2 linked regions of the Lepisosteus oculatus genome follow. The protein of the gene in region 2 interacts with the protein of the main gene of each other region in a biochemical or structural test. Links are inferred from orthologs where the notes say so. Each region holds a gene or a part of one and is shown on either strand. Other genes may lie near its edges.

Region 1 (7,124 bases), on a different chromosome or scaffold from region 2:
AATGCACAGGTCATGTTTCTAACAGTACATTAACCCGTCCTTCGGATGAGACGTAAAACCGAGGTCCTGACTCTCTGTGGTCATTAAAAATCCCAGGGCGTTTCTCGAAAAGAGTAGGGGTGTAACCCCGGCGTCCTGGCCAAAATTTCCCATTGGCCCTTACCAATCATGGCCTCCTAATAACCCCCCTCTATGAATTGGCTACATTACTCTGCTCTCCTCCCCCACTGATAGCTGATGTGTGGTGAGCGTTCTGACGCACTATGGCTGCCGTCGCATCATCCAGGTGGATGCTGCACATTGGTGGTGGTGGAGGGGATCCCCATTACCTGTAAAGCGCTTTGAGTGGAGTGTCCAGAAAAGCGCTATATAAGTGTAAGCAATTATTAATTATTATTATGTGCAGAATTATTCTATCCATCAGACAAATTATTGTACAGCTACTGGAAACAGAAATGCACTTATAATAGAAACTAAGGACCAAGGTGGCCCTCTGGAAGCTTGCGTTTGGCTATCTTGATCTAACCCTGCCTTGAAAAAAGTTTTCTTAAGGTGTGTCACTCTCTCCCTTAACCTGCGTCTCATCTCTCCGAAAATACATTTACACCTTGTAAAATGTGACCATTCTGTGTGTGCAGCCTAAGCAAATTTGACATTTCCTACATTTCCTGTGAAGTGCAAAAGTTAAGAATAAAGGGGTTTACTGCAATTCTCAAAGCTAAAGGCAAAGAAATGTGGCCAAAGTGTCTCAATACACTTGCTTTTCATTTTAAAAAAGTTTTTCCTCAATCTGAACATAAAAGACCAAACCCTGATCTTGCCTTCACATGCAGTACTGCAGTAAAAAAAAGGGCTCTACTATTCACGTTATGAGTTTGTGGGAACTGAAAGAAGTCCTCTAAAGACTGCCCCTTGAAAAGAACACTTCTCCACCTGAACATGAGAATCTCATAGAAGGAATTGCTATTTTTAGACGATTAGAAAGTAGAAAGCAGTAGTCCTGGCTTGTTAATGCAGACTCTCTAATTGACCTTGACAAATCTTAAGTGCAGACCTCTCACTGGTACTACTGTCCGAACAACTTAAGAAACTCAAAGATAAAACACTTAGATCAATTCGAATAACGCCTACTAATTATATGTAGCAGAGCATCTTTGCTTGATGACCTCCACCTACCCACCTGCTAGCATCTCTGTAATACATGCACTTAGCCATCAATACTTTCGAACATAAACCAAACTATCTTTAACACGCGATACAAAGCTAGACAGATCTAGCTTTGTGAACTTCTGTCTTCCATTTCACCTGAGCACAGCGCTCCTTGGAATGAAACAATTCTGCAACTCGGGGAACAGAACACCCATCAGTCTGTGGATTTTACCCAGACAGACCAAAATTTCTAGCTGGATGACTGAACCACCAAAAAAGCAAGAATGTGTGAAGACAGTTGTAACAGTTTTATTCATTCAAGTATTCACTCAGGAATGGATGGTTTATCTGTTCTGCAAAGTGCTTTTAATACTGTTAAAGGCTAGAATAACCTTTTTTGCACTACTTTATACAATATCCATACCACTTTAACTCTTCATGATGAGCACAAGAAAGACTTTTATAAGGGCTGCGTTTTTTACATGATAGGCGCATAGCTCAAAGCACCGCAGTGTTTACTATTACTTTAACGACATTTTGATTAGGTTTATTTGCTTAGGGGACTACATTGATTTTCAGAACGAAATAAAAACATTTCCTTTGCTCTTGTGCAGTGCACTTCTATATTACGTATCCATGCAGTGTTTCCGAAAACAGATTTCTCCAAGGGGGAGGGGGGCAACATCTTGTTTCGACAGTCATTCATCGCTGAAATGTATGAGTAAAATTGCTTTTATGTAACACTGGGCTGCACGTATCAGTGTAAGTGGAATCAAACGCATGCGAATTTAAGGTGCACCTTCTCACCTGCCGCTAATAAATCAATTACATAAGACTATTTAAATTGGATGCACCATTTCACGCACGCATTCCAAGTATCATCGGGCTCACGGATCCAATTAAAAGGGGATTTATTTCTGTAGCACTTCCAAGGTTGCAAAACAATCGAATCTTTTACCGAAGCACGTCAGTGGCAAAATATGCTCACATTAACTCTACGAACACCGAACAACCTTAACACTCCCAGGCACACCCACAATGAATGCAGATCGCAACACTTCCTGTACCATTTCTGAGTTTCTTGCTGTCCGCGGAGAATAAAATCGTCTCATCTGTCCTTCTTCCTACTGCGTGTTGTTTTTTTTGCAGGAGAGGTAGCATGTTATCTTGTTCTTTTTTTTAATGAATGATTTCGGCCAGGCCTAAAGCAAATATACCTGCCACGGGAATAGCCACTTTTAACTCGAAATCCCAAACACACACGTCAAAGACGCCCTGTATTCGTCATTTAAAGACAGTTCTGCTCTCACGGTTGGCGTTACCGTGTTTAGGGGAAATCTGGACACACGCCCTCGTTAAAAATACTTATTCGGCAATATACGTTTCAGCGTCAGGCCCGAGGAAACGCTACTTCCTGAACAAAACACAAGAGCCCGCAGCGGAGCACACACGGGCATGCACGCGTGGAGAGTCTGAAGGAAATACCCTGCAAAACACGAATTAAATAGGTTTTGCTCAGTCCTCTTCCCTGCATTGCTACGCCAATCGGGCCTGCAACCTTCCCCAATACCGATCCCCCCCTCCAGTTCTGATCAACATTCACAGCATGATGAGTGACTGTGCATCGACAGACCTCCCGTCCTCTCTTGTTCGACAAGCAGAAAACCCGCAGTAACGCAACTCTTTCCCCTCTCGCTCGACTTCGTCCCTCTTCCCGCTTAAGTCAAATTACGCGTTTCCCCCCCGACCTGCTCGCGTCTGCGCGCCCACCCCGCGAGTCGGAATAATCGCATTTTTTTGTCTCTAAAATAGCCCAGATTCTCACACAAACCTGTGGAGGCCGCCATCTTGTCCAGCCGAATCCAGAACCACACAAATCCGTGACATCACAGTCACCTGGCGCGCGCGTCACCACTGCACCGAGCCGCTGCCGCCGCCGCTCACGTGACCTCTCGGCGCTTGTTGGTTTGGGTGTGTGGTGGGGGGGTCATTCATCGAGGGAGTATGAATGTGCCCAGCGACTGAAAGATTTACTTGTTTTACAAATACATCTACATCAAAAACGGAAACCTACTCGAATCATGACTGGAATCCTTTATTACTACCGTAGCTTTTAGTTCACTTTTTTAATTTCCGTTCTCTTCTTCCATGTTATATTAAATTGCCCCCATTTTTACATGAATAAAGTATTTTGAATCGAAGTTATTGCGTTTATAAGATGTAAATGAATCAAACGGTAAATCAATCAAACGGAAAACACTTCTTGTTACCATGTAACCCCCTCCCTAGTTTTTTGAGTTGTTGCAAAAGAAAACAGTATTGTGCTCACTGAGCAGTTTAAAGGCACTTCTGTTGTTTCATATGTGATTTCATTATCTGCTTTTCATGTGTTACAGCGTGACAAAAGGAGTTGTGGGACAAATGCATAGGGGCTATATACCTTATGCATATAATGGATTCTTTGTGTGTGTGGGGGGGGGGGGGTTTCTCTTTGGGTCTGCTTTTCTCCTTTCATCAAGGTCTCCAAGCCTTTCCAGTGCAAGGCTGGCTGGTGACAATCAACAATGTTTCAATGACACGCTGTCGCCTAGATGTTCATCAATCACCACACAGAGGTGACACATTAGGGTTGCTGGAGAGTCTGGACCAAAGGTGGTGCAGGGGGACAGATGAAGCACAAAGGACAAAGGGACAAGGGAAGGGAAGGGACAGTGTACCTTGACACCTGGTGAACTCCATAATTAACCCCCACTCACTAGGTCGAACTACCAGACACACACACACACACACACACACACACACACACACACACACACACACACACACTACAAGCTTTGGTTGAAGGGTAATGGCATAGTTGTAATATAACTGTCTGTGCTGGTCTGGGAGCACGTGGGTGGTTTTGGGGAGATACATCAAACCTGTTGTGGAGAGAAGGATCCAAACTTTTTTTCCCCATGTGTTTTGGTTGAAGTTTCTGAAATGTTTATTTCTTAAAAAGACTTATTGGTTTTAAGCCGACGGCCATGAAGGTGTAACATAAACACATTCGGGAATATCAAAAACTTGATTTGAAGGGTTCCATCATTTAAGTGTCAAAGTATTATTTTAACATGAACATTTTGTGGAATGTCTACCTCTGGTGCTGGGCTTTCTCATGATCTTTTCCTTTTTTCTTTTACAAGGCTCATCCTTTCCTCTCCTATAAAAACAGGGTTGAGGGGGAACTGCAGTCTCTTCCTGTTTTGCCACATGTCCGTCAACAGATGCTCTACTCCTTTCTCAGGCCTTTCACATTTAAAGAACTTTATTGGCATGACCAATCCATTACAATTAACACAACATTTACAGATATTACAGACTTTAATAAGCATATTATTGACATTGCATACTGTATATCATATAAAACATTGTTATGAGACAAGCTCACTATCAGTTCCTCAGGCTTTGACAGGACACAACATACTTGGGTTGCAGCTCTACCGAGTTTCCACACCCAGTAGGATCAGAAGAGTGTTTATCTAATCCCAGAGTATTTCTCCCAGTGCAGCAGAAAGTGTACCTCTGTCTTGGGTTTTCCCTGCTGCCAGCAGGAGCTCAGCCTGTCCTTTCTGGGCAGCCAGGTCTGCCTGTGTCCAGTTTCTGTGTCAAGGCTACAGTCACTGACCCTGTCCTCTCTGCACAGTCAGGTCTGTCATTGCCTCCCAGTTTCTACAGCCAGGCTGTGGTCACTGAGCCGATCATTTCTGGACAGCCAGGTCTGCCTGTGTCCAGTTTCTACATCACGGCTACAGTCGTTGAGCCTGTCCTCTCTGGGAAGCCAGGTCTGCCTGTGTCCAGTTTCAATTGTCCTCGGTCTGGTCATAACACATAGCACCTTTCTTTTCTTGTTGTCTGACCAGTCCAAAACAATCATTGTCTTTGAAACTGACTCAAGCCTTCCAGCCTGTGAAAACTTTCTAGCCCAAACCTTGTTACAAAGAACTATTGCCTAACTTTTTTTTAAAGGAAGGGGGTAAATGAGTACAGAGGATGAGGTTTAAATGTGACTTTAATACTTTTTTTTTACGTAGAAAGGAATATTGGTAAATGTTTACACTCTTTTTTAACATTGCTTGTCTTGTAATGTAGAATTTGTTTCATTTGTAAAATGTGGTTAATTAAATTAGGGGTATTTCATACTATGTCTTTATAAAGAGCCCATTTCAGGGTTACAGTGTTTTAAGAGAAAAAGCAGACTCTATGAATTAGGGCAAATAATATTACGTTTTGCAGATTCACTATACTGTAAGACAGAACTGTCTGAACCGACTTAAAATTCGGCTTTTCATTTATACAAAGTTAGCAATACAGTAGCTATTTTGCCCTAAATTTAACCAGCAGGGATTACCAGTATTCCCCATGAAGTCTGTGTAAAGCGGCTCTCCGATATTGAAACACTTCCAGCTTGTAGACTTTCCGACTTTAATCAAGCCCTCAAGTTCAAATATGAATATAGCACCACCCTTAACGAATAAGTTAAAAACCTTCTGATGAAGTTGAAACAAGGACATTTTGAATTGGGGGTTGAAATATACGCCTGTCCAGAACCCACAATTTTAGATCATGATAACACGTCTGATCGTTCGTCGTTGCAATGGGTCACAAGGCAAGATTGTCCCTTTATCGCCCCTGCTGTTTGATATTGCTCTACAGTCTCTGGCAATTAGCATAAGAAATAATCCTAGTATATAATGTATTAACACAGCAGCCTGTATGTCGCTGTGTCCTGACAATGTGCTCCTGTATCTTTCTGATTTTATATCTTATCTATGTCATCTGAATTGTAAGACCTGAGATGACTTCTGCAAAGCAAATGGGCTCTGGTAACCAAGTGCTACGGTTTAAATCCTCTCAAAAGTTTAAATAAGTTTAAGTATGCAACTTTGTATATAAATGGTTGTACGTTTTTAATGATAAAATGGGGGATTAAAAACTGCATTAGACGCATAGTAAAATCTAAGAGCCGCGTAGGGGAATTAGCTCAAATGGTAGAGCGCTCGCTTAGCATGCGAGAGGTAGCGGGATCGATGCCCGCATTCTCCAAGCTTTTGCTTATGGATAGAAATGTGCTCAGGGCACATGGAGTAAAAGGAAGGCAGTTCCCCGAGTGTTTGAATTAGTAACCATTTTCTTGTTTTTCGGCAAGGGCAAAACGAAATGTCCCCGAATGCGCAGCTCGGGAAAGACTCCTTCACTCACAAACGTGCAGTCGGGATGTTTGTGTGCTGCGCTTTCGTTTGTGTTTGAAGTGTGGAGCTCTCTAGGAACTCATCAAGATGTCGGAGAGAGGGATAGAGGAACGAAAGCCTGTGTTATAACCCTCCTGTATGTGTGTTTTTTAAATTAAAACTGTATTCCCGATTGAGAAGACGACATAAAACCTGTTACTGGAACGTACTAATTTAAGGGATTCAGTCATCACAACTTCATGTTTGGTGCCTGGGATTGGGAGAGGCTTCTTTTGCCTTAACGGCGTTTTATTGACAATCATTTGCTAGGGTAATCATATTCCTGTTAATGTAATGTAAACAAAAAACACGTTCCGGAGAAGGCGAACCGTACCAGTAAAAAAATCCTTGTCTAGAAAGAATTTCACATAAATTGGATCAATGTCCGGTATTAGACAGGGCTGTATAGTCAGACTGCTGGATAAGTAATAGGTGCTTAAGGAAATACCTTGACTAAACACATTCTCCTTGTACGTAATTTATTAAAGACGTGGTTGTGGCGGTAGTCTGCCCTCTCAATGGAGCCTTGCAGACCGGAAGCGCGCAATTACTTCCTGTGCGGGGACGGCGTGTGTTCTGCCCCTTCGATAGCTCAGTTGGTAGAGCGGAGGACTGTAGCGGTGATTCCCGGCCATCCTTAGGTCGCTGGTTCGAATCCGGCTCGAAGGAGGTGGATTTTTTTTACCTTCAATTCGAGCTGCATTT
Region 2 (7,948 bases):
CAGAATAGACGTAAAATTAAAATACGTACAGTAATAAAAAATAAATACATAGTTAGATGTGTGCAAAATATGCTCATAGTCACTGTAAAACAATAACATTTGTGCAAAACGTGCATAGGTATATACAGATTGAGTGCCCAAAAAGTACAATAGTGCAACATGCTGTCCATAGACGAGCAGATGAAGGGCTAACAGTCCTAGCCTAGGGCAGCGTTATACACCCTGACAGCCGCCAGGAGGAAAGACCTGCGGAAACGTTCCCTTGAGCACCGTAGCTGGAGCAGTCTGTTGCTAAAAGTGCTCAGCTGCCCAGTTACAGTCCCATGAAGTGGATGAGAGGCGTTGTTCATGATGGTTGTAAGCTTGGTCAGCATTCTCCTTTCAGCCACCACCTCCAGGGGGTCAAGGCTCAGCCCCAACACAGATCCACTTGATGAGTTTGTTGAGCCTATTTACATCTCTTGTCGTGATGCTGCTGCCCCAGCACACAACATCGTAGAAGATGGCCGCTGCCACCACTGATTCAAATAAAATGCGTAACAGTGTTCCACATACACCAAAGGACCTGAGCCTCCTAAGAAAATAGTTGGCTCTGACCTTTCTTGGACAGGGTGTCAGTGTTAACAGACCACTCCAGCTTATTGCTTGTAGGACTGCACCACCTCTATGTCCTCGCCCTGGATGGAAAAAGGGTTCAGCAGAGACTTATTCCTTCGAAAGTCCATGACCATTTCTTTAGTCTTGCTGGTGTTTAGCTGGAGATGGTTAAGATGACACCACTCCACAAAGTTGGTAACCAAGCTCATTTATTCCTCCTCCCTCCCCTAATACACCCCACAATTGCAGAGTCATCCAAAAACGTCTGCAGATGACACGCCTCAGAGTTGTACCTGAAGTCAGAGGTGTAAAAGGTAAACAGGAATGGAGCAAGGACAGTCCCCTGTGGAGCCCCAGTACTGCTAACAATCTGTTCGGACACACAGCTCTGCAGCCGTACATACTGTGGCCTGCAGGTCAGATAGTCTATAATCCAGGACACCAGGGGAGTGTCCACCTGCGCAGCTCTTAGCTTCTCTCTCAGTAATGGGGGATGGATGGTGTTAAAGGCACTGGAGAAATAAAAGAACATAACTCTCACAATGCTCCCCGTCTTCTCCAGGTGAGAGTTAGGTCTGTGTAGCAGAAAGATGATTGCATCCTCCACTCCCATGTGTGACCGGTAGGCGAACTGCAGGGGGTCAAGTGCTGTACTCACCAGGGTTCTGAGTTGGTCTAGTACAAGCCTTTCCAGAGTTTTCATCAGGTGTGATGTCAGTGCCACTGGTCTGTAGTCATTTAAGACTTTAGGGTGCCCCTTTTGGGGTACTGGCACCAGGCAAGGTGTCTTCCAGAGCCCTGGAACCCTTTCTAGTCTCAGGCTCAGGTTGAAGATGTACTGCAGCACTTCAACCATTCAATACCTACTTTTTAACCACTGGATCACAAGAGTGCAGGGGATCATTAAAGCAGATCTGTGAGATACCATCCACAGATACCATAACAGAGTACGATATGTTTCAATGATGTTGTATGACGATGAGAAATAAGGCTTTACAAATTAATTTCTAAATAACTTCACAGGAACATAAAAGAGCAGTAACGCTGTCAAATGTTCATTTAAATAGTAATTAATCTATATTTGGACATAGGTGTTGTAACAATAATTCCACTCTGCTCTCCTCCCCACTGAAAGCTGATGTGTGGCGAGTATACTGGCACACTATGGCTGCCGTTGCATCATCCAGGTGGGGCTGCACATTGGTGGTGCTGGAGGGGAGTCCCCATTGCCTGTAAAGCACTTTGAGTGGAGTGTCCAGAAGTGTAAGCAATTATTAATTATAATATTGAAGAACACATTATCAGTATTGTGAGCTACAGCACTAAAAAATTGATAAATGCAAATAATATTACAGAAAATTACTCCATTTCCCTAATGCACAATGTTTAGTACTTGTTAAATCGCTTAGACACATTCCTTACAGAGGAGCTTGTAAAAGCTGCTCTGTGTACCCTCCAATAATCTTGTTAGCTATACACAGCTCTTAAATTCAGAAACTATTTTAATCCCTTTCCCTGCTCCAAGCAGAATATGAATCTTTTTAGAAATCGTGACACTCCAGAATTACCAATTATTTTTAGAACCAACATTTTTTTTAACACTGATCGCTATTCAAAATAACAACACACTTCAAAAACACCACGCCTTGCAGAGAATAAGCTTGCACTGCAACACTAGTCCCAGAAAGAAATGCAAAACACCAGTTCCAAAACCGATACAGGTTTCTTACTGAACAAGGAAAATATTATTCAGTTGTCCATCACCATTGCAAACATTACACGGAAATACTATTTACAATAGCTTTTCAGACATCCCAACTTTGAAAAATGTATTTCAGCGAGGGGGGTCGTCCCTCCCGCGAAAACTTTCGGACCAGAGGGGGCGGGTCCCCCTCCGAAAACAAAATCACAGCTATATAATTAAATAAATCGCTGATAGATACTATAATATGTATGCATTATTCTATAAATGCTACAGTATAACTCACCAGTCCCGTTGAATAATCTCGCTTTCTTTGCAAACTTTCGTTGTACAGAGATGCCACTGGTTTAGCAGATTTAAGCGGATTCTCAGATGACTCAGGGTCATATTATATAATTAAATAATTCGCTGACGATTTCTTTCGGACCGGGGGTGTCGCCAACAGACAAATGTGGGAGCGGGGGGCGATTTCCGGCAGATTATAGATCACTTGAGGGGAGGCATGGAGGAGACGCTGACTTCCGAGAGACTTGAGATGTCAATACCGCATAATGCGCCACACGAGTTTTACGCTCAAAACCTATACACATACCCAAAACCCGGAAACAGAAACAAGATTTAGGATAGCTCAACAAATAAGAATTTGTCTGCCTTAGCTAAGCAGCGTATGAAAAAAATGCAGATATTTACTTCCCTTCTCCAATTAAAAATCAGAAGGCGGGATCAAGCAAGTAAAAAACCTGGGCGGAGTCAATAATATATGAAACCAGGGTGAGTGGGTTTAGTTACCTGTGAAATAGGCGGTACAGGAATTGAAGTTGTACACAGCTTTATCAGCAATACTGTTTGTTCCACCTTGATTATGAACCTTTGTTTTGCAAAACTCTGCCATTAAATTCTAACAGCTGCCTACAGTAATAGCAGAACTAAAAGGGGGTTTTCATCCAAAATAATGTTATCAGAGGTACTGGATGTGGCAGTGTGGGTTTTTCGTAATGTAGTTGCTGTAAATTGTGTGCTGGAGAAATCGCAGTTGGAAAAACGTGAGGACTTTAATTCAATAAATAAAAGCTGGTTAATGATTGACGTTTTACTGGAAACATGATCTGGCCACTCACGAGTAGAGTTGATTCCGTCCCCTCTGTAATTAATTAGACTGAACAGAAATAAAGGACGCACAGCACGTGGCAGCCCTAGCTTGCTTTCCTAGTGCTGAATTAAGTGCATGTTACTGTATGTGAGAATTCAGTTACATTTTATCAAAACATTAACTAAATGAAGCTGAGCGATTGGCGTTTAACTGGGCAGGAAGTGGAATTCTGGTGTGGTAGGCGCTGTTCTCTACTTTTAAATCGCACTGTTCCGGTCCAGATCAACACAAGCGAAGTCTGACGAGCAGCAGAAAACATGCCTCCTTTCCCTCTTATTAAAATGGCGTTCCTTCTACTTTTTTCTTTGTGTTTGACATTAATTTTAGGGTTCGGGCTCCCAGAAGCATTGAATTTCATTGTTAAATGCTGTGGGTTTGCAGAAGCCAGCGTAACCCACTGCATAGTCCTTGTGTATTTCATTTTCGTATTTTTTGTGGCAATGCCTTCCATCCCCAGGGGCTCTGTGAAAGTAAGTAATACTGAAGTTTTATTGTTTCGTGTGGCGTCAACGCCACAGCACTGTATTGTACATCGAAGAGTGAATTTGGCACCAGTCATGTATACATTAGTATGTAGTAGTATATACTGGGTTGTTGACGGTGTCTATTTTTATAAATAATGTTAATGCAACTTGACCTGGAAAAGGTCAACTTTGTATCTTTAAACTTTTTTTAATGATTTTGTTGAGCGTTTTCATTGATTCTACTGAACTGGCCAGGATAAAGTAACTGACGTACTGTATAAGAGGGAATACATATGTCAATATTCGTATTTTTTCCAGGACTTGTAATGTCTGCGTTTCGTACACGGATTATTTGTTATAAAGTAATTGAGCGAATTCTTATTGCTTAGCGACCTGCTTCTGCACAACAACGAAAGAGCAAAGGTGAATAACAGAATCGGCTTTGCTTAAAAAAAAAACAACAACTGAAAGGTAACAAATAACTCGCAAAGTAAATCTGTAAGCGCTGGCTTTTTTGGTTTCGTGCCCCTGGGAAGGTTGTGTTGAAATTAAGTTGAAAAGGCACTGACATACTGTATAAGAGGGAATACATATGTCAATATTTGTATTTTTACCAGGACATGTAATGTCTGCGTTTCGTACACGGATTATCAACTATTCTAGTGCTGTTCGTACACATCTGTTTTACGCGTATTATTTGTATGTGCTAAGGTATTTCATATTAAAAGCTAATCAAGTTCTCCGCCTATACGTGAAATTATCAGTACAATACACTGCATCTTCAGGTTTCATGTGAATTTACACAAATTTAAAATTAATACATTTTCTTCCTCTATTTGATTCTCAGTGGGAGGTTGGCATATTGCAGCCTGTCATGGATCTGGTGATCAATTAAATATTTTTATTTATTATTATTTTATCAATAAAATAATTAAATTCTCATTTTGGTGACCCACCCCACTAACTCTTAATGAGATGAGAAAAATTGTCAAATTGTGTCAAGCTACCAGTTCCTCAATAAAAAGTATTGTTCAAGACTGCTTAAAATACTGTTGTTGAGAAGGGTTTTAAAAAGGTATTGGATTTAAAACTGGCTTTAATTGCTTATATTCCAATTAGAACCACATTACAAACTGCTGTTGTAAGCAACTTATGACTTTCGTATTATGTGAAACATTTTTTTAATAGTTTTGCAGAGCAGTGAGATGGATAATAGAAAATAGTATACAAAACACCACACAGTTAATCATGCCCTTTACCTGTACGTTTGCTATGGGTTTTTATGTCCATGTGGGATTTGCCTTCTCTTTGGGCTATGCATTTCTTATATAAAACATTCTGAAATGTTTTTTTTAAGCATGTGCCAACATGCTAGTGCTGGTGTAATGTGAAAACGTTCAGAAATTGTTTTTGATAACTGGTTTCCACAAAAACACTATTAAAGAGAAATGGGTACAGGCAGGTCTTAAATGACACACCCTTTACTTTGCCCAGTTTGGCCTTATTAATATATTGAATACATTTCTTAATGTACTGTAGGCTATGAATTGGTTCTCATTTTAACATGCTTGGTCCCAGTCTGCAACAGGTGATTTGATGGAGTGTTTGAGTCTGTACACTCGGCGTGTACCAAGTTGTAAGCTGTCCCTCATCATTTCCTGTCATCTCAAGCTTACTAAATACATATTGAAAATGTCTTAGTCTGCACCTAATGTTTATGTTGTATAACAATCTACAAGAGCACGTTCAGCAATAAAATGATTCATCCACAGTGTGACAGAGAGCGCTACAGGAGGTCATTCTTGCCTTCTGCCATAAGACTGTACAACTCATCCACCTTGCGTCTGGGCAGAGGCAACATTGACAGTGACCTGTTTCTGGACTGAACGCATCTACACATCTACTGCTACATCTGTTCTCTTTCTTTTCCCATTTACAACCATTTTTTGTGCAATATATGCCAGGGACCCGTGCAATACATTTATATTTATATCTATATTTACATCTATATTTATATTCTTATGTGCAATATGATTTTTCTGTGTACTGTTCTGTTCTAGTTTGTTCTTTGTGTGACCTGGACTGAGTAACTCTTTTAGAGCACTCCTCACTGTATTGATTGTATTGTAGTATTATTATTATTATTGTATCATTCGTTACACTGTGTTGTCTGTGTTAAGCTGCTGTTGCACTGCAATTTCCCTCACGGGATCAATAAAGTATCTATCTACTACAATGCATAAAATGCAGAGCGGTGGCTCTGTGGCTGAGGATCTGCGCCTGTGACTGGAAGGTTGCCGGTTCAAATCCCACGGCCCGCAGTGGAATCCTACTCCCTTTGGCCCCTGAGCAAGGCCCTTAACCCCAACTGCTCCAGGGGCGCCATACATTGGCTGACCCTGCGCTCTGACCCCAAGCTTCTCTTCCTGTCTGTGTGTCTGTGTCTCATGGAGAAAAGCTGGGGTATGCGAAAAGACAAATTCCTAATGCAAGAAATTGTATAGGGCTAATAAAGCAACATTATTATTATTAAAACAATCTTAAAGCTGAATGCAAACACAAGCTTGTTATTTTTAAGTCTTTAAAAAAACCTCCCAAATTGTCAACCTTGATGTTAAATAAAATGGGTTACGATTACTAATTGGCTGAAAATATTCGCAATGTTATTTACAAGACTTCAAAATACACGTCCATTTTTAAAAGGCTCACTGAGAGTAGGAGGACTGAAGACAGCTGGGCAAGACTCACTGCCCCTCACTGTTGACATAAAATTGACAGCCAACTCTTAGAAAAGCTTAATGTCTATACAAATAAGTATTAACATCTTACATGAATAAAACTGCATGATTGGTTTTTATCTAGCAATCGATTCTCTGGTTGGATGGGAGCTAAACATACCCCCCTCCCCCCATTTACAGTACATGCACTACTAGAGTGAATTCATTTTTAATTTACACATTTGTTAATTATGCAATGTTTTTCAGGAGTGTATCTCCTGTGTAAATCGAGAACAACCTATATGACGTGTTTTTCCCCATGACAGACTGAGGGAAAAGCTGTGCTCATCACAGGCTGTGACAGTGGATTTGGATTTGCTTTGGCAAAGCATTTACATGCTCTGGGATTCACAGTCTTTGCTGGATGCCTTCTTAAGGTACGGCTTCTAGCTCTTTTCCGTCAGCGAAAAGTCAACTGGTTTTAGTTAGGAATCTAAAATCTAAACTTCACAACCCACTTTCTGTCAATGCAAACAAAGATCTGTGAGCTGATAAAATGTTTCAAAAAATATTATTTTTGTTTAAATTCAGAACTTAGTTTAAAAGTTTATTTATAGGCATTTTGTATTCTCCAGTTCTTATTAAAGATCAGTAGCTCTTAAATACACTTAGAAATCTTAGAAAAGTAAAGCAGATTGTTTGTACATAATGCAAATTTTGTTAGAAGTCTTTTCCTTGAGAGATGGGAGAGGACAGTGCAGAAGAACTGAAAACTTGAGATTTGTTTCTTCCAGCTGACAGGAGGGTATATTTTATGGCACTGTTGACAGGACAAGAGCGGCACTGGAGCTTGTGATCTGGAGAGCATGAACTCGGAGCGGATGAAAGTTGTGCAGGTGGATGTTTGCAGCGAGGATGAGGTGAATCAAGCCCTGCAGTTCGTCAGGGAAAACCTGAAGGATGCAGAGAAGGGTAACAGAGCAGCATCCTTCTTCACAAGCCAGCATGACATCTTTGAACAAAACTCCCTGGTGTTGACCCCAATGGCATCCTGCAGTACACTTGAACACTCTACTTATTTTTCTTCCAATCTCATAGCAGTAAACCTGGAGGTTCTATGTTTTTCCTTTAGTGTTTGCATGCTTTAAAACATTTATTAATTCAGTGCACCTGAATCCCAAAGCATTTGATTTATAACAGGGGTACCAATTCATTATGACTAAAGACCTGTACCCACCTGGGTGATGTACTGTATGGCCATTCTGCACCAGCAGCTGCAGCAGACAGTACAGGTGGCTAGAACACCCTTCTTTCACCT

The links.
Region 1: the proteins of hltf (region 2) and ube2v2 form a complex in vitro, tested with the Homo sapiens proteins (2 studies listed by BioGRID). The link is inferred for Lepisosteus oculatus from reciprocal best matches to the Homo sapiens genes HLTF and UBE2V2.

What each region holds. Positions count from the first base shown.
Region 1 is NC_090701.1:47,139,630-47,146,753, reverse strand, and holds the start of ube2v2 (ubiquitin-conjugating enzyme E2 variant 2), read right to left. Parts: upstream 3,089-7,124; 5' UTR 2,997-3,088; coding exon 2,981-2,996; intron 1-2,980. UniProt on the Homo sapiens protein: Has no ubiquitin ligase activity on its own. The UBE2V2/UBE2N heterodimer catalyzes the synthesis of non-canonical poly-ubiquitin chains that are linked through 'Lys-63'. This type of poly-ubiquitination does not lead to protein degradation by the proteasome.
Region 2 is NC_090708.1:14,814,811-14,822,758, reverse strand, and holds the start of hltf (helicase-like transcription factor), read right to left. Parts: upstream 3,016-7,948; 5' UTR 2,687-3,015; coding exon 2,586-2,686; intron 1-2,585. Other genes in the region: bdh1 (D-beta-hydroxybutyrate dehydrogenase, mitochondrial), read left to right, coding at 3,707-3,919, 6,957-7,067, 7,461-7,602. UniProt on the Homo sapiens protein: Has both helicase and E3 ubiquitin ligase activities. Possesses intrinsic ATP-dependent nucleosome-remodeling activity; This activity may be required for transcriptional activation or repression of specific target promoters.